Linked DNA regions of Cricetulus griseus. The main gene of each other region encodes a partner of the protein of the gene in region 3 in a complex. Links are inferred from orthologs where the notes say so. Each region holds a gene or a part of one and is shown on either strand. Other genes may lie near its edges. The genes, in order: Eif3g, Eif3j, Eif3d and Eif3e.

The links.
Region 1: Eif3d (region 3) and Eif3g share a complex: the UniProt entries of both Homo sapiens proteins name them as parts of the eukaryotic translation initiation factor 3 (eIF-3) complex. The link is inferred for Cricetulus griseus from reciprocal best matches to the Homo sapiens genes EIF3D and EIF3G.
Region 2: Eif3d (region 3) and Eif3j share a complex: the UniProt entries of both Homo sapiens proteins name them as parts of the eukaryotic translation initiation factor 3 (eIF-3) complex. The link is inferred for Cricetulus griseus from reciprocal best matches to the Homo sapiens genes EIF3D and EIF3J.
Region 4: Eif3d (region 3) and Eif3e share a complex: the UniProt entries of both Homo sapiens proteins name them as parts of the eukaryotic translation initiation factor 3 (eIF-3) complex. The link is inferred for Cricetulus griseus from reciprocal best matches to the Homo sapiens genes EIF3D and EIF3E.

The regions. Positions count from the first base shown.
Region 1 is NC_048597.1:133,768,024-133,773,224, forward strand, and holds the start of Eif3g (eukaryotic translation initiation factor 3 subunit G), read right to left. Parts: upstream 3,047-5,201; 5' UTR 2,956-3,046; coding exon 2,936-2,955; intron 2,820-2,935; coding exon 2,773-2,819; intron 2,581-2,772; coding exon 2,497-2,580; intron 2,393-2,496; coding exon 2,304-2,392; intron 2,182-2,303; coding exon 2,122-2,181; intron 172-2,121; coding exon 67-171; intron 1-66. UniProt on the Homo sapiens protein: RNA-binding component of the eukaryotic translation initiation factor 3 (eIF-3) complex, which is required for several steps in the initiation of protein synthesis.
Region 2 is NC_048599.1:56,399,317-56,403,863, reverse strand, and holds part of Eif3j (eukaryotic translation initiation factor 3 subunit J), read left to right. Parts: intron 1-1,445; coding exon 1,446-1,500; intron 1,501-1,841; coding exon 1,842-1,933; intron 1,934-4,547. UniProt on the Homo sapiens protein: Component of the eukaryotic translation initiation factor 3 (eIF-3) complex, which is required for several steps in the initiation of protein synthesis.
Region 3 is NC_048595.1:375,063,188-375,067,734, reverse strand, and holds part of Eif3d (eukaryotic translation initiation factor 3 subunit D), read left to right. Parts: intron 1-240; coding exon 241-377; intron 378-894; coding exon 895-980; intron 981-1,304; coding exon 1,305-1,377; intron 1,378-2,668; coding exon 2,669-2,781; intron 2,782-3,386; coding exon 3,387-3,519; intron 3,520-4,215; coding exon 4,216-4,363; intron 4,364-4,547. UniProt on the Homo sapiens protein: mRNA cap-binding component of the eukaryotic translation initiation factor 3 (eIF-3) complex, a complex required for several steps in the initiation of protein synthesis of a specialized repertoire of mRNAs.
Region 4 is NC_048603.1:9,463,190-9,467,736, forward strand, and holds part of Eif3e (eukaryotic translation initiation factor 3 subunit E), read left to right. Parts: intron 1-849; coding exon 850-967; intron 968-3,779; coding exon 3,780-3,822; intron 3,823-4,547. UniProt on the Homo sapiens protein: Component of the eukaryotic translation initiation factor 3 (eIF-3) complex, which is required for several steps in the initiation of protein synthesis.

The DNA.
Region 1 (5,201 bases), on a different chromosome or scaffold from region 3:
TCAGAGCCGGCCGCTGTCCACCCCACCCCCACTGCACTTCTGGGTCTCCAGCTTCACCCTGCTCACCTCTTTGCTAGTGATGAATGTCATGGAGACATCATCGCTGACTGTGGTGGTGGCCACATTGGGCCCCGGTGGGTCAAACTCAGAGTAGCCAAACTTCTTCCAATTCTGGGTTCCCAGAAGAATAGGGAAAAATGGGGACAAAGGCAGTAAGATAGCAGAGTGGGGTACCCCAGACAGACAACCCCGTCAGAGCCTTAAATCCTACATTCTCGTGTCCCCAGAGGCCTCCCATGTGATAATGGTGACAATTCTCATTTCCTAAGCTAGGCTTGGTGGAATGTAACTGTTACCCTGACACTTAAAGGTGGAAACAGAAGATTCCGAGCTCAAGGTCACCCTGAGATACACAAGTTCAAAACCAGCCTGAGCTCTGCTGTATGAGGCCAAAACAAAGGAGTGGGGGAGAAGGGGGGAGGGTGTTGGTGAGGTGGTTCCGTGTGTAAAACCGGTTATTGTACATGAAAGAACCCAAAACTCTCATATAGAAAGTATGAGCCAGGTGGTAGCGGCACACATTTTTAATCCCAGCACTTGGGAGGCAGAGGCAGGCAGATCTATGTGAGTTCAAGGTCAGCCTGGTCTCCAGAGCCAGTGCCAAGACAGCCTCCATAGCTACACAGAGAAACCCTGTCTTGAAAAACAAAAAACAAACAAACCAAAGAGTTAAATATAGCCCAGGGGCAGGGGACCCTATCTAAAGAGAATAAGTTGTAAAGTGACATGACAGAGCAAGTCACCCAATCTCCTCCTCTAGTCTGAGTGTGAATATACAGCCATTCATGACCCCGAGACACACCCACACACCTACCCCCCCCCACACACACCCCATAAGGAGAGAAGCAAAAAAAAAACTCCAGGAAACAGCAAGGAGACTCAGAGTAGAATGGCACACAACTGTGCCACTGAAGTTTCTAGGCAGGTGCAGGGCGGGCTCCCACCAGGGAGGAAGCTGGAGGATGTCCAAGAGTCACTCAGATCACAGGAACCTTAAGCTAGTTAAATGGGACCACAAAGCTCCCTGCCTCCCTAGCCTGATCTAGAGGTTGGGAAGCCATGTCTTGCTAAATGCCTGGCATGGAGCCTTGCTCTCAATGTGTTGATGTCCTTCCTCCAGAAGCCCTTGCCCCTTGCTCAGTAGAGGCTGCTTGTTCCTTCAAGTAGACAGAGCAAAGGAGTAAGAATCTAAGTCAGGACCCAGGAGGCTAGGCAGAAGCATTTAGAATCTGAATACTACACAGCAAGAGCCTCTCAAAAATAACAACAAATGGGGCTGGAGAGATGGCTCAGAGGTTAAGAGCACTGAGTGCTCTTCCAGAGATCTGAGTTCAATTCCCAGGAACCACATAGTGGCTCACAACCATCTGTAATGAGATTTGGTTCCCTCTTCTGACATGCAGGCAGAACACTGTATACATAATAAACAAATAAATCAATCTTTAAAAATAAATAAATTAAGGCTGGGCGTTGGTAGCATACGCCTTTAATCCCAGCACTCAGGAGGCAGAGGCAGGCGGATCTCTGAGTTTGAGGCCAGCCTGGTCTCCAGAGCGAGTGCCAGGATAGGCTCCAAAGCTACACAGAGAAACCCTGTCTCGAAAAACCAAAAAATAAATAAAAATAACAACAAAACAAAAAACTCAAGAGGATGGATATGTCCCAGTTAGCAAATTATTTGTCACAAAAGTACCCATCAAAGTCCAATCCCAAGCACCCACAATGAAAAGCTGGGCACAGAAGCATGTGATTGTTATCTCCAAAGGTAGAGACAACAGGCTCACTGGGGATAGGTGGCCAGCTAGTCAAATCTAATTCCTGATGACAAAAGCCCATCTCAATGCAAGAGGAATTTGCTGGAGGAATGACACTGTACACAGGAGCACACAAAAGGGGGGAAAAAAATCTAACCTCAACTACTCCTGGACCCTGAATTTCCAGGGCCTGACACTAAATTTTTAATTCTACATCAACAGGAAAGGACTTCCCAACTCCTCTGGGCCAGTCCTGGAGACCCCTCCGCATACACACACCAAAGTGAGTCAGATGGGAGGGCCTCACCTTCCTCCTGGCCACAGCCTTCGATGCCTTCCGGGTCTCAATCCTGAAGGTCCTGACAATCTGAAGATGGAAAGGGAGAAAGGACTTCCAGAACCTCAAGGCCTTCCTTCCTCACCAATCCAAACCAACACTCACAGCCCTCATCGCCAATCCAAGCGCCCCCGCGGCCACCTCGGCCTCACCTTGAACTTCTTGCCATCTTCATCTACCTTGTACTCGGTCACAGTCTTTACGTTCCCGTTGATGACTTCCTTGGGAGGTGGCAGTGGCTCTGTGGGAAGACAACAGGAACTGAGTCCTGGATAACGGGGACTTGCTGGGAACGGGCTCGAGGGCCGGAAGGGGGAGGGGACGGCAGGGCTGGACGGGGCTCACCTCCGGGCAGTAGCTCCGGCTCTGGACTGGTGTCCCCGGTGGGCAGAGGGATTCCCTTCAGGAGCTCGCTGGTGACACACTTGTCTGTCAGAGGCAATGCGGGGGCGGCGGGGGGGACGGAAAGTGAAACACACGGCTGGGACGTCCAGGCCAAGGTGTGGGTGGGTTTGGGGACTCCGGGGGCTCGGCCCGCCCCGGGACAGGGCGCGGAGGGCCGCGCACAGGCACTCACACGCACGCACTCACGCACTCACTCACACGCACACGCGCACTCACCGTCCTCGCCCTCCTCTTCCACCTGGTCGGCCCAGCTGGGCTTCGAGCTGCGGAGACACGAGAAGGGTGAGCGGGTCCCGACCCCCGCGCCGCCCGGATCACCACACACCCAGCGCTGCCCCACACCGCCTCTCTGGAGAGCCCGCCACCGCCCCGTCCTCACTCAAAGTCGCCCGTCGGCATCGCGAAGTCTAGCTCCACGCAGCTCCCAGCCCGGGTAGAGAGCGGAAGCCCGGGGAGAACGAGGCTTCCGGTGCCGCCCCTGCAGCCTAGAGCGGCCAGACCGCGGCGAGCACAGCGCCTCCCTATGGACGAAGGCGGACACGCGACTCTCGTGTGCAGCGAAGTACGGGGACCCAAGCTGGAAGGAGGTCCCAGAGAGACCGTCCAGAACTTCTTAAACTCTCCGCACCCACTTAATTTATTGTTTTTTTGGGGGGGAGTGATGGGATTAGAAGTCACTGTATCACTCTGTAGCTAGGATAACCAGCAATTCCCGACAATCCTCCTGCCTCAACCTCCGAAGGGCTGAAATTATAGGCATGAGCACCACGCACTGATGTACCGAAGGCTGGGTTTGCACTCATAGCAATCTCCCCAGTTTATTCTCTTGTGGACTGAGCCCAGGTCTTCAGGCTTGGCAGTCAGCCTTCTTAGCTGCAAAGACATCTTGCAAGTTCTACCGGTGTCATCTTTTTTTTTTCCTCCGTTTTTTATTTGAATTAGAAACAACATTGTCAACAAAACAAAACAAAAATAAAAAACACCAAAAAAGGCCGGGCGTTGGTGACACACGCCTTTAATCCCAGCACTCGGAAGGCAGAGGCACAGATCTCTGAGTTCGAGGTCAGCCTGGTCTCCAGAGCGAATGCCAGGACAGGCTCCAAAGCTACACAGAGAAACCCTGTCTCGAACCCCCCCCCAAAAAAAAGGAAGAAAGCAACAACATTGTTTTACATGTTAATCCCAGTTCCCTCTCCCTCCCCTCCTCCTCTGCCTCCCTCCCCCAAGTAACACCCTACCTATCCCATGCCCTTTCTGCTCCCCAGGGAGGGTGAGGCCTTCCATAGGGGGGGGTCATCAGTTTGTCATATCCTTTGGGATAGGACGTAGGCCCTCCCCCGTGTGTCTAGGCTCAGGGAATATTCCTCTATGTGAAATGGGTTCCTACCAGTGTCATCTTAAACTATTTCCCATACTAAGCTTTTCTCCTTCCTCAGAGCTACACCCCCTAGAACTCTGGTATAATCTTCCTTTACTTGATTCTCAGCCTCTGGGAACATGCATTCCAAGAAGTTCTTTCTTAGTTTGGGTTGCTAGTGCAGATGGAAAGCACACGCTGGGCGCACTTGTGATGACCTATATTTCCAGCACGTAGAATTTGTATTATGGAGCCGTGTGTGTGTGTGTGTGTGTGTGTGTGTGTGTGTGTGTGTATGCGCGCGCGCGCGCGTGCGTGTGCAGGAGTGCATACCTTTAATCCCAGCACTTGTGGAGGCAGAGACAGGTGGGTCTCTGAGTTTGAGACCAACCTGGTCTACAAAGTAAGTGCATGACAGCCAGGGCTACAGAGAAACCCTGTCTTGAAAAACAAAACCAACCAAACAAAAACAAAACAAAAAATTTACTAGAGAAATGCAAAATCCAGACAAATGGCCTTTGCTTTGTTTTTGTTTTTGTTTTGTTTTTTCAAGACAAGGTTTCTCTGTGTAGCTTTGGAGACTCTCCTGGAGCTTGCTCTGTAGACCAGGCTGGCCTCAAATTCACAGAGATCTGCCTGCCTCTGCCTCACTAGTGCTGGGATTAGGGACATAAGCCACCATCACCTGTCTACAAATGGGAAAATTCTAAAAACAAAATTTAAGTGGACAGCATTGACTCAGTGGTTAAAGGCACTGGCTGCACTTCCAGCAGACCTGGGTTCCATTCTCAGCACCCAAATGGCAGCTCACAACTGTCCATAGCTCTAGTCCCAGGGATCCAATGACCTCATCCACAGGTGCCAGGCATGCACGTGGTGCACAAACACAGATACAGGCAAAACACCCACCCACATACAGTAATAATAAACTTAAAAGTACAGAAATAAGGTATTAATAAGATCTTTCCTTGGAGCCAGGTAATAGTTTAACTTATGAGCAAATTGTATGCAAAGACGTGACAGTAAGAAGGCTGTGCAGTGGGGAGTGGTGGCACACACCTGTCATCTGGCACTCAGATGGCTGAGGTGTAAGTGGTGACCTTTCAAACGATGCTTGCACTAGTGAAAACCTATAGAGAAATAGTTTTGCTCTTTTTCTGAGGAGCAGTCTTGTGTAGCCCATGCTGGTGTCAAGCTACTGATTCTACCTCCACCTCCCCAGTGAGGGGATGACAGGCAAGCACCACCAGATTGGCTTATTTAATGCCAGGGATGGAGCCCAGTGCAT
Region 2 (4,547 bases), on a different chromosome or scaffold from region 3:
ACCATAAAGCTTTGGTAATGAAAGCAGTGTGGTACTAAGTGGGTGTTAGTTAAACCTATAACCAACCCCTACACTCAGGATTTGGAGCAGGGTCATATAGACTAGCTTAGTCTATATGGCAAGATCTGTGGTTCTTTACTGTAGGTGGATCAGGGATGTAAATATATGAAAAAAACAAAACAAAACAATGAAACCATATATATTCTAGAAGAAAACATGGTGAATTCTTTGAGATTGTCTGACTTAAATCCAGAGGTAGCAAAAGCCAGTGACTTGGAGATTTTATTGTATTTGAGGGACAGTTTCATTAAGAGAGGTGCCTATTTCTGTTCTGCTCACTAGTGTAAACAGAACTAGATTGAGCTAGTACGATTAGAAGAATTAGTAAAACTGGTATGGAGGACCTTCATGTCTTCGATGCCTTGGAGGCAGAGGCATGTAGATCTCTGTGTTGGAGGCCAGCATGGAATATGTAGTGAAACCCTGTCTCAAAAGTACACTCTGTTGTTTTCAGGCTATGTGGTATGGGTTGTATAGTATATCACTTATTCAGAAGCTTGGGGCCACAAGTATTTCCTTCCATTTAGGGACTTTTTTTCCTTCAGATTTTGAGGAGTATATGTGTACACATAATGGTATGGGACCCAAGTAAACATGAAATTTTTTTGTTTTAAATATACTTTACACACATAGCTGGAAGGTAATTTTACACACTATTTTAAGCATTTGTTCTATTTGACTAAAGATCTATCAATGGATCATATGTGGAATTTTATTATTTTTTGGTAGTACTGGGGATTGAATTTTATGCATACTAGGCAAGCATTTACCATATTCCCTAGCTTCCTATTGTTTTTACTTAATTTTGAAACAGGATTTCTTACTTTGTAGAGGCAGGCCTTAAACATTGATCTACCCTACCTCTCAGGTCGCTGGGATTACATTCAGATTTGTGGTCTAGGCCCAGTTGTAAGTGTGGAATATTCTTGTGGCAACATGTTGGTACTCAAAAATCTTTGGAATTTTGGAACATTGAAGATATTTGGATTAGAAAACTTTAAAGAATTGATGATGAACCTAACTTAAGTGTCCTCCCAAATTACTAATGTTCAAAGCCCAATAGCGTTTGCTATATACAAATACCTAATTATAAAGCATGATGAGGGCAAGGGAAACCTATAAAAGCAACAGAATTTAAAAATTTATAGGAATTTACAGAATACTAGGAACAACCACAAAATGAAACGTGTAAAACTTCTTACACTCCTGAGATACAAAAGTAGACTTAAAATGGGAAGATAACCCTAGACAAAGGGCCTTACTGTTATAAAGGCTATAATACCAAAAAGTACCAACAAGCTTGTTTGTGCATATTTAGGTTAACCATAGATATCACATAGGAAAGAAAACATGTAAGAATTACTAATGGAGGTTCTTGTCTTCAGGATAACTGGGATGATGATGATGATGAAAATAAAGAGGAAGCTGAAGTAAAACCAGGTGAGTCACTGATATTCATTCCTTCATTGTTTTAAACCAGATGCCCCTCTATACTTTTTCTTTAAGTACCTGCTGGTTTTCTGTTGGAGAAAAGTGTAGGTGTAGGAGATAGAAAGTAGAGGAAATGGTTATTTGAATGATCTTCCCTTGTCTATTTGCATCTCCCGGGGTGAGATTTGAAATGAAAAGGAAGAGTACTAAAACTTTATCATTTCCAGAATATGTGACTCTGAAAGCTAGGGAAGGTTTCGTCTCTTCAGGTGTTCAATCAAGCATCATGTCTGCCGTAGCCATAGACTAGAAAGTGTTCAATATAATCGTAAATAAAATATTTCTTTCAGAAGTAAAGATTTCAGAAAAGAAAAAAATAGCAGAAAAGATAAAAGAGAAAGAACGGCAGCAGAAGAAAAGGCAAGAAGAAATTAGAAAGAGGGTAAGTTCTATCACTTTCCTTAAAATGTATACAGAATTCATAATGTGTCGGTTGTGGTACAGTGTGTGCCGTCTCCCCCCCACCCCACCCCCGCAAAACAGGGTTTCTCTGTGGCTTTGGAGCCTGTCCTGGCACTCACTGTGGATACCAGACTGGCCTTGAACTCACAGAGGTCTGCCTGCCTCTGCCTATCTACCTATCGAGTGCTGGGATTAAAGGCATGTGCCACCAACGCCCAGCTGTGGTACAGTGTCTTAACTGGCTGCAAATATTACATAGCAATTTGAAGGGCTCTGTAAAGACAAAATGGATATACTGTAAGATAGGTGAATCCCAGAAAAAAAATTGATTTGTAGTTTGCGAACCCAGAAGTCTTATATCTGAAAATATTTTCAGTTTCATCATAACAGTTAGATTGGGCAGTGACCACCCTTAATGGTTTTTTTGTTTTTGTTTTTTTCTTTTCTTTCTTTCTTTTTTTTAAATTTTTTTATTTTTTTTATTATTTTTTTTTGCTAGAACCTGCAGTTTTGTTTTTTTTCTTTCAGTGCTGGGATTGAATTCAGGGCCTCATGCATGTAAGTGATCCCTCTACCACTGAGCTATATGCCTAGCCCACCTGTGGCTATTTCTAATCAGTTATACACAGTGAACACAGCAAACAAATGTTTGTCATGCCCTAAAGTGGTTTATTCTTGATTATTTTGTAGCAGGATCCAGCAATATTGCTGTATTTATTTTAATAGGAAACATTTTCATAATTCAAATATAAAAATTATTACAAAACACTCCTAACCCCTTAGTTACTTATTCTGTCTCCACTATCCCACATCTCATGTAAACACTTGTCCCTTATCTGTCCAAGATACTTTTTTTTTTTTTTTTTTTTTTTTTTTTTTTTTTTTTTTTTTGGTTTTTGAGATTGGATTTCTTTGTGTAACAGCTCTAGCTGTCCTAGAACTCACTTTGGTTGACGCCAACTCACAGAGATCCACCTACCCCTGCCTTCTGAATGCTGGGATTACAGGTGTGTGCCACTACTGCTTGGTTTGTCCAAGATATCTTTATATTTCTGTATGTATTATCCCTGCCTCTTTGTGATAGTCTTTAGCTGTATAACCTAGGGTGACCTAGAACTTGGTTTCCCATTGCCCCCACTTTTCAAATGCTGAGATTACAGACATCACTAACTGGCTGTCCTTTTTTGTGTAGTTTCCACTTTTATTTACTGTAGAGATCTTTTCCATACACAGTGTGGAAAAAACTCTAATATTTTTCCTCACTTTTTTTCCTTTTTGTTTTTTTGAGCATTCTCTCCCCTCCCTCCCTCTCTCTCTCTCTCTCCCCTCTCCCCCCACTCCCCCTGGGTTTCTCTGTCTTGCTTTGGAGCCTGTCCTGGAACTTGCTCTGTAGACCAACTGCCTCTGCCTCCCGAGTGCTAGGATTAAAGATGTATGCCACCAATGCCCGGAGAGCATGCTTTCTCTATGTAGACTTTTCTGTCCTGGAAGTCACTCTGTAGACCAGGTTGGCCTCTGCTTTCTGAGTGCAGGGATTAAAGGCATGGGCTATCATTCCCTGGCCTTCTTTACTTTTTGTTAAGAAAAATCCTCAAATATGAAAGTAGGAAAATAATCAGGCATGGTGTTGCACTCCTGAAATCCCAGTACTCTGGAAGTCTGAATTACATTTGTAATTTGTAATAGCTTGGCTTGTATTGTAAGGCCTGGGCTCATAAAGCCAGATCTGGTGGTATTCATACTTATAATCCTGGCACTTAGGAGACAGAAGGAGGAGGATTTCGAAAAGTTGGATGCTAGCCTGGTCTACATAGCAGTTCTAGGCGAACCAGGGTTACATTGAGTGTGAGACTGTTTCAAAAACAAGTAATACATATCACTTAATACTGTTAATGTGTTGCCAGATTTCATTTATTTTTGCTTTGCTTAATATAACTAATATACATTTTACCTTTAAACCCTGAGAAGGGATTTTTTTTTTCATGATTGCATAAATACCTGATATTTAGAAACAGGTATATATGTGTGTATTTATACATGTATAAATACATACATACATAAGGTTGTTTTACTGCTGTAAGAAAGAGATGTAGCATGAGATTATTGGTAGAGTGCTTACCTATGTGGGAGGTGCTATGGTTCAGTCAGTCCCCAGTATTGCTCTTTTGCGGGAGGGGATTACAGGGGAGACCATGTCTGTGTGTAGCCTTCGCTGTTCTGGGACTTGCTCTGTAACTCAGGCTGCCTGAAGTGCTGGTAGTAAAGGTGTGTGCCACTATGCCCGACTCTGCCAAAAAATTTTAATAATTTTACTTTGTTTTTGTTTTGTTTTTTTGAGACCGGGTTTCTCAGTAGCTATGAAGTCAGTCCTGGAATTCACTCTGTAGACCAGGCTGGCCTCAAAGTCATTCGCTTGCCTCTGCCTCCCAAGTGCTGGGACTAAAGGTGTGTGCTACCACCACCGCCTGTGTAATTCTTCCTTTTTGAATAAACTGGTAAGGTTTTTGTAATTTGTGTTTTACTCAAATACAGTAGTTTATTTGAGAATTATATACTTGCATACATTTAATATTTATGTGTTTAAATCAAACCCC
Region 3 (4,547 bases):
TTTAGACTCAAGCTCTTAAAACTTAAATGTGTGTATGAATCACCTGGGATCATGTTTAAATACAGGTTCCCATCTGTCAGGTCTGGACAGGGGCAGTAAGTCTGCACACCTCACAAGCTCTTGGCTGTGGTCCCCAAAAGTGCTGCAGGTCCCAAAACCACGCTTGAGAGAGCAAGGCTCAAGACTGCCATGTGTAGCCTTTAGGGAGCACTTAGCACACACTGTCACCTTTGCCTGCAGACAAGTACTCCTCTCAGTTTGGTGGGGGAAGTCAGTATGCATATTTCCATGAGGAGGATGAGACGAGCTTCCAGCTAGTGGACACGGCGCGCACACAGAAGACTGCCTACCAGCGGAACCGGATGAGATTCGCACAGGTAGGCCACGGGCTGGCAGCCTAAAGTGCCTTGGAGGAGCTCTTACTGTGAGAATTTCTGCTGCTTAGCAACTGTCTTGGAAACACCAATGAGACAGGAAATTGCAGGCCTCTGTCCAATCCCAAGTGGCCATTCAGTGACTGGGTTTTAACAGAATAACTTTTCCAAGGATGTTTTGAAGGACTTTAGATTTCTGTTTACAGTAGGTCAGACATCACACAGCTGTGCTAGGAACCTATTTTCTCACTTAATTGCAACATACAGGCTTTGTTAATTAGATGGTTTGGTTGGGTACTACATTAAGATGCAAACTTAGCAACTCCAGTAAAACCAGTAAACCTACATTAGTGGAAATGAGTCCAAGCTAACACAAGTGCTTCTCCCCAAATACTGTGGAAGCTATAGAGTAAAAGAACAGAGATGAGAAACTGGGGACTTCACACCCTAGATTTGCTCTCAAGATACCAATAAGCTATGACTCTTAAGAGGGTAACACGGGTCTCTTCCTGCTTCCAAGCGGAACCTCCGTAGAGACAAAGATCGCCGGAACATGGTGCAGTTCAACCTACAGACCCTGCCCAAGAGTGCCAAGCAGAAAGAGAGGTAAGCGTCCCTTCCTGCCAGGTCAAAGCTGTGTTCCCAAATGGACTGTATTCAGAAGTCAAGGAGCCAGGACAGGGATTGGCTGTCTTTCACTATTGGAAAAGAAACCACACCCTAGCCAGGATTGCCAGTAACTGGGCTGAATGCACCCCTACATTTGGTTCTGGGGGGTAGTGTGCCTCTGCTCTCACCCTAGTGTGTGCCAGCATGGTCTCTTCATCCCTAAGCCAGCATTTTCTTTCCTGGTAGCAGCCAGGAAAGATACTTCAATTCAACTAGAAGAAGCTACTGAAAACACAGCATTCTTTCTGTCTGTCTTTTCAGAGAACGAATTCGCTTGCAGAAAAAATTCCAGAAGCAATTTGGAGTGAGACAGAAATGGGACCAGAAGTCACAGGTAGTGTGTCCATACCAGAATTCTGTTAGGAATTGGGTGGGTTTGCTTTCTTTTTATCCTTAGAGATAGCAGCCATGAAGTGCAGTTATGTGGTCTCTAGTGTATGGTTACTGTGGACAGCTTTAGACCTTCATCCCTCTTACAAAGAAACCTTGTGCCCGAAGGCATGTCCTGTCCTCCCTAGTCCTAGCCAGCACTGCTCTTTGCTGACTGTGAATTTCCCTGATGTGTGCATTTCATGTAAACAAAATCAAAATCTGTGCCCTTTGTTTAGCATGGCATTTTTGGTTTTTCAAGACAGAGTTTCTCTGTATAGCTTTGGAGCCTGTCCTGGAACTGGCTCTTGTAGACCAGGCTAGTCTCGAACTCAGAGATCTGCCTCCCGAGTGCTGGGATTAAAGGCAAGTGCCACCACCACCCAGCTAGTGTGATATTTTTAAGGTATATGCCCTGTTGCAGCCTGTACTAGTGCAGTCTTTTCATTTTTTCCTTCTTCTCTGTTAAGGATTGTTTCCGGGTGCCCTCAAAGAAGCCAAGATTTCTTTTGCATAAAATGGTGTAGCATTTGCAACTATCATATGTGCATCTCCTCATGGACCTTAACTCACCTCGGGTTATTTATATGGGTTGAAAGTATCACTTTTAATCTCAAGTGGTCCTCCTGCCTCAGCCCCCCAGTAGGACTTTCAGCATGCTGAATACCTGGAATATTTTCAGTTCACACATGACCCTGGGATACAGAACCCACAAGTATAAAACCTGCAGATATGGAAAACCAGCTGTACTTCTTATTGCCAAATAGCATTTCTATGTATAGATTGCCACATTTCCTTCAGCCATTCACCTTTCCCCTTTGCACTGTTAGGGAATAATTACCACCTTTGTAAAAGCTATGAGAATAGCAGGCATGAGCAACAGTGGAGTTTGGGCTAGGAGTATAGCCTAGCAGTGAACTGGCTGCCTTGCCACAAAAACATGGATTCATTCCCCAGTGCTGCGAAGGGGAAATGATGTTAAGACATTACACTTTGGTGAAAATTTGGTGCTTGTTGTGTCAAAAATACGTAATTAATACCCTGAGAGTTCCCATGTTTTGTCCCTGATCCCTTCAATGAGCTTCTACAAGTCACAGATGCTGTCTAAAAAAAAAAAACAAAGCCAGGACCACATAGCCTCAATCCCAGCACTCAGGAGTTCAAGGCCAGCCTGGTCTACAGAGTGAGTTCCAAGACAGCCAGTACTACACAGAGAAACCTTAGGTTATGAATATCTTAACCTGTTTTATCTGCAGAAACCCCGAGACTCTTCAGTTGAAGTTCGCAGTGACTGGGAGGTGAAGGAGGAGATGGATTTTCCTCAACTGATGAAAATGCGCTACTTGGAAGTGTCGGAGCCTCAAGACATGTGAGTAGCTTCTTCACTGCTGCCCACCGCACTCGGGCATATGGACCAGCTGGGGTCTATGTCTCCTTAAGCCCTAGCAACTCCAAAGCAGATTTGTCCCAGTTTCTCTCCACCCTTGGTATCTGCACAGAAGCACAGTAGGTCAGTCTCTGAGCACTTTGGGCTAAAGTAGCATGACAGACCTTCAGGAAGCTTCATATTGTGCATCCTCGTACACAGAGCAGGGGTGAGGCACTAAGGCAGTGGGGAGCTGGAGGACCACCCACCAAGGTGCCTGTAACTGACTGTTCCCAGGGGAGGGTGGCTAAAGGGGAAGGCGTGTTTCCCTGTGTTCTGGAGCTGGGACAGGAAAACAGCTGGCAGTGAAGATTTGCCTCCTTTCCGAGGAGATTGATTCCATCCCTTTCATACGTATTAGACTTCTGGGTAAAGTTTCTTTCTGGGACAAAGCACTCATGTAGCTGGGTCAGCTCTCCTTCGTCTGCCTCCCTGATGCTGGGATTACAGTTGTGTACCGCTGTATTTAGTAGATAAGACTTGTGATTCACGGCATAAGAGAGGAGTGGGGAGGATCTCTCTGGCTTCCCGTTCCCCTCTTCCCTCAGCGAGTGCTGTGGCGCACTGGAGTACTATGACAAAGCCTTTGACCGCATCACCACGCGGAGCGAGAAGCCTCTGCGGAGCATCAAGCGCATCTTCCACACCGTTACCACCACAGACGACCCTGTCATCCGGAAGGTGTGCACCCTTTGCCCATTTTTAGGAATGTTGCTGAGGCCCAGAAAGAACAGGGTGTGAGATATGGACATGTCCCCTCAGTAGTCACGGGGTTGATTCAGGACCACCCCATGAATACCAAAACTCATGGGTGCTTCTTTATGACTGATGTGGACTGTCAGTCCTGGCAATCTTCCATGTTTCAGATCTTTCTGGATTGCTCAGGACGCCTAAGACATAAGCAGTTGTTATTCTGTTGTTTGGGGAACTTGACAGAAAGAGCATGTGCATGTTGATTAGACATGGTCTTTTTTGTTCTCCTGAACATTTGGTGAATTGACTGGTGAAGACTTCACAGAAACAGCTGACTGTGTACATAGTCCAGCCCTTAGATAAAATTATTCTGGATCAGACTTAGAATTTGATGGAAGCGGAGACTTGTTGCTGGGTGGATATAAATGTGGTAAGCCAAAGCATGCTCAGACCCCAGCTTTGCCAGGCAGACCGTATCGCACTAGAGTTTTAGCTTTCTCACCTGCAAAGACAGAAACTAGAAACTAGTGAGCTGAGTGTGGTGTATGCTTCCACAACAGTGACGGAGCAGCCATGCCAGCCAGTTTGCTTCAGCCTTCTTGGGTGACTGGGGAAGTCTTTTCCCTCCCTGGTGACCTCAGCATCCTCACTTCACTTTCTCTCTCCCTCTCTGCCTCCTTGCAGCTGGCAAAAACGCAGGGCAATGTGTTTGCCACTGATGCCATCCTAGCCACACTGATGAGCTGCACACGCTCTGTGTACTCCTGGGACATTGTAGTGCAGAGAGTCGGGTCTAAACTCTTCTTTGACAAGAGGGACAACTCTGACTTCGGTAAGTAGCCTGACTGGGGAGCAGCTCGGGGCACTGGTATTATTGGTCTTGAATATTGCTTGGTCCTGAGAATGGGTCATGTGTCAATCCCTCCCATCCTCCTGGAGTCCAAGGGAAGAGACCACTTCAGTGCTTCCGTGGGCTTCGGCTCTGAGTCCTCACACCACCACTGTGGCTGTGTGTT
Region 4 (4,547 bases), on a different chromosome or scaffold from region 3:
GAACCAACCCTGCACTCACACCGATAATCCCCATCATTCATACTGAAAATAATTATAAATAAAGTAAAATTTGGAATAAAACAAGTATCCGGGTGTGGAGAAGAAAACACTGCTGTAGGAAGAGCACTATAGAATGAAGACATTGTTAAAGTCAATATAACTTTCTTTAGTTTATAGGCAGTAACTATTTAAATTTAGTTCGTGATGGGAGTGAAGGGTCTTTTTTTAAATTTTATGTGTATGATGTTTGACTGCTTGTATGTTGGTACACCATGTGTGTGCCTGGTATCCCAGAAGATCTAAAGAGAGCTTCACGTCCCCTGTGACTGTACTAAGAGATGGTTGTGAGCTGCCATGTGGCTGCTGGGGATCAAACTGAGATCCTCTGCAAGAGGAACGAGTGCTCTTACCCGCAGAGCTGTGTCTCCAGCCCCGAGATTGTCCTCTTTATCACAGCTTCCTAAGTGTCGAGAAGTACAAACGCATGCCACCACAACTCTAATGACTGCTAGTCTCTGAGAATTAATCTGAGATGCAGGTTATGTGTGAGTTTTCTCTTTATTCTGGGGATAGTATAGTAAACGGGATCTGTAAAGTTAGGGTTGTGGAATTACAGCTTGTTGATATTAAAAAAGATTCTTGACTAGATTAAATTCCATTCCACCTAGTAATAACATGTAAAGCCATTAGTGTGTTGCCTTTGTTCTAGCGTGAAGGTGTTGAGTTGGTGGTTCCTGGCGTGTGAATGAAGGGATAACTAAGTGTGTGGTTGGAATTAAGAGAAACTAATTTCTCTAGACAGTCTCGTGGAGTGGTGGGTAACGTTCTCTTACTCGTGTTTCTCACTAGCTTTGAGAGAAAAAAGAACCACAGTTGTTGCACAACTGAAACAGCTCCAGGCAGAAACGGAACCAATTGTGAAGATGTTTGAAGACCCAGAAACTACAAGGCAGATGCAGTCAACCAGGTAATCTGTGAACTTGAATCCTAGAAGTTCTCTTCCTGGATTCATATACAGGTGAAACTAGGTCCCTGTAGTAAAAGTTCACGATCTAAGTGAGTGCCTTGTTTGTTTGTTTCCATTTGTCTTTTGTTTTGTTTTGTTTTGTTTTGTTTTTCGAGACAGGGTTTCTCTGTGTAGCTTTGGAGCCTATCCTGGCACTCGCTCTGGAGACCAGGCTGGCCTCGAACTCACAGAGATCCGCCTGCCTCTGCCTCCCGAGTGCTGGGATTAAAGGCGTGTGCCACCAACGCCCGGCTTCATTTGTCTTTATTTTTTAAGGGGCGGGTATTTCATAACAATAAGTGTTAATTGTAACTTATTTTCTTGTGTGTACAGTGCTTTGTCTGCAAGTGTGTGTGTGTGAGTATATGCCTAGTGTGCTTGGGGGTGGGTCCGAAGAGGGGTAAGACCCCTGGGAACTGGAGGGAAGGTGGTTGTGAGCCCCCAGTAGACTGGGAATTGAGCACAGGTCCTCTGCGAGAGCAATAGGTGCCCTTAGCAGCCGAGCCACTTCTCCAGCCCCAATACTAAATTTTTTAAAGAAACTTTTTAAACCAGTTGTTGATGCCTTAGCGTGCCCTGACAGTTGAGTGTGCCCTGGCCCTTCTTAGGGGGCATTTGGTACTGTCTGGAGACTTTGAGCCTCACACTGGAGGGCAAGTGTAGAGGTCAGGATGCTAAGCTTGTTGTGCTCAGGACCTGCCTTTCCCGAACTCCTTCCTAGAGTCAGCCAGCTCAGTGTTAGGGAGAAAGCCCTGCTCCTGCTGGGGGCCTAGAGTGCTTGGGTTGCTTTCTGAGGGAGAACCCTGAGCTCACTTAGCACTTACACTCTCTTACATCTTTCAGTGTCTGTACTCATCCCAGCTAAGATTATTTATTTCTAATTTTCTTTCTGCTAGAAACACTTTCTTGTCTGCTTTCCAAATGAGGCATGTTGCCTTAACCTTGCTTAACACTTTGAAGCCTTTGGAGTTATTACAAGTATTTCAAAGTAAAATGTACTAAACCTGAACGTTATTGCTGTAATATGTCTTAGCTACCAGTGCATTCACTTGAGAAATTCTTAGTGACTTTGCCGTGCTGTTGGATTCTAGAACACATGATCTAACCAAATTTGTAAGTGATTTTGTGTAACCTGATAGTGTTAGAAACCCTGCACACATTACAGTTCTTCTGACATGCTGTAATATGCTGTGTGCCCTGCCTCTTCACACTGCACGCATGTGTGGAGATACTTACAAATGCACAGGTAAAAGCTGTGGTCAAAGAGAAAGCTCCTTTAATGCGCGTGCATCTCCACTGTTAGTTCACTTGTAAGAGTACAAAGTAATTCTAGCTGTTGAGGCCTCACGTCAGTATGCAGGGAGTGAAGGTTGACGTAATCCAGATGTTAGGCGAGAACAGACATTTTAGGATGTACTAGGCATGTGAAGATTGGGAATGGGAACTAGAGAGATGGCTTAAGAGTAAGGAGCATGTCCTGCTGCCGAGGGCCGGGCCTTAGTTTCCAGCCCCAGTTCTGGTGACTCAACTGCGGCGGGTAAGTCCAGCTCCGGGGGCTGTGCCTCTGGCCTCTGTAGGCACCTCCAGACATGTGCCCGATCCGCACACATATAGACACATGTGCACATAATTAAAATAAATATCCAAAGGAAAGATTGGAGACAATGAAATGAAGAGTAGAACTCGTGTGTAATGTGTTCACCACAGAGTAGACAGACAGTGCCTTCCATAATGGAATGGGCACTGCTGATCAGTTGTTAACTTGGCACAAGCTTGACTCATCTGGGAAAGGGAACTTCAGTTGAGGAATCGCCTCCATCAGATTGGCCTGTAGCCATATTTGTGGGGCATTTTCTAGATTAGTGATTTTTCTGGGGGTGGGGCGGGGCAGTGTTACCCCTGGGCAGGTTCTCCTGAGTTGTAAAAGAAAGCAAACTGAGCAAGCCAGTTGGGCCTCTAGGTTGCTGCCTTGAATTCCTGCCCTGACTCTCTCCTCTGTGACGGGTTGGGAAGTTTAAGCCAGGTGAACCCTTTCCTCCACGGGCTGCGTTGCTTCAGCATGTGTCATCACAGCGCTGGAAAAGTAGTAGACTAAGGCAGGAACTTAGCTGAGAGCAAACGAAGGACTCAACTGTTAGAAATTTGTCATCTAATAGACTTAATAATGGTATTTTTCTATCAGTCTCATTAAGTCTTTGTTGATCATATAGTGTTTTTCTTGTACTCGATCAGAAAGTGAGCCAGAGGACAGTGAAAGTTGGAATTTTGTACACTTGGTATTCAGTAATTTAATGCTGTCAAGAACTCCCAAAGTGTGCCACAGGCCACAGCACATTCCCACACGTGGTGAAGCCCGAGAAAACACTTTTGTTTTGAAGATGTGAAGATAAGCGTTGACTTTTGATTCGTTCTTGAGTGGGCTCCCTGTTACACTCGTCTTTTACTGGTCTGTCTGGATCTGCAGTTAATGCAGAACTAATTGAAGAAAGGTTAGGTTGGGCTATTTAGCAGCGTGATATGACTAATAATTGTGGAAGTTTGTGACATAGGTACCATCCAAATTTGATCTTCAGTCAGAGCTTAAGAAATCTGAAAGTAAAATTTAAGTTTGTGTTTATTCTTATATCAACATTTGACATGGACTATTGTGTTTCTGTTTAAGTATTAAGAGGTTTAAAGTGACTTGTTAGATGATAACTTAGAAGTTAGAGCTGCACATTTTGTGTTCTGCAGACTATAAACCATAATAATGCTCACTTTTTCCTATATTAAGGGATGGTCGGATGTTATTTGACTACCTAGCAGACAAGCATGGGGTAAGTATATTTTTTAAATATTAAAAAAATGGTCATTTTTTTAAAAAAGGTCTTTAGAGATTAATGCTGTACACAAATTCATAGTTTGCCATAAGAATATAATACTTATATTAATTTAATAAATAACAATTGGTATGTTTTTAATAGTTTTGTAAGCATTGGTGATGATGGGAAATTTTTGTTTATAATCCTCTTGATAACATCCTCTCAGTGTTTGCCTTATGTGGCTCATCATATAATAGTAACTCTTTATTTTCTCTCTTCCTGCCTGAGGCAGGGTCTTGCTATGTAGGCCAGACTATCCCCAAATTTCGTTGAGCCTCCTGCTTCTGTTTTCTGGGTCTAGGATTACTTGCACTTGCCACCGTGTTGAACTCGGGATTCTTTTTCTGAGTAGCTTTAAGAGTAAAGACTGAACTAGAGTTGAATTAAAAATGCTTTCTTTGCATAGTAGGAGAGCATTGTGACTGCCTTAGAGAGTGCAGTAGCTCTTGACATTTTCATGATCTTCATTCACAAACTCACATGTTAATCTTACTGTTCTTACTGATGTCTTTGGTTTCTCTTCCGTTAGCCTGAGGAATGACTGTTGTTTGTTTGCTTTGTTGTTTTCAAGACACGGTTTCTCTGTGTACCTCTGGCTGTCCTGGAGCCCATGCTGTAGACCAGGCTGACCTTGAACTCAGAGATCTGCCTGCCTCTGCCTCCAAAATGCTGGGATTAAA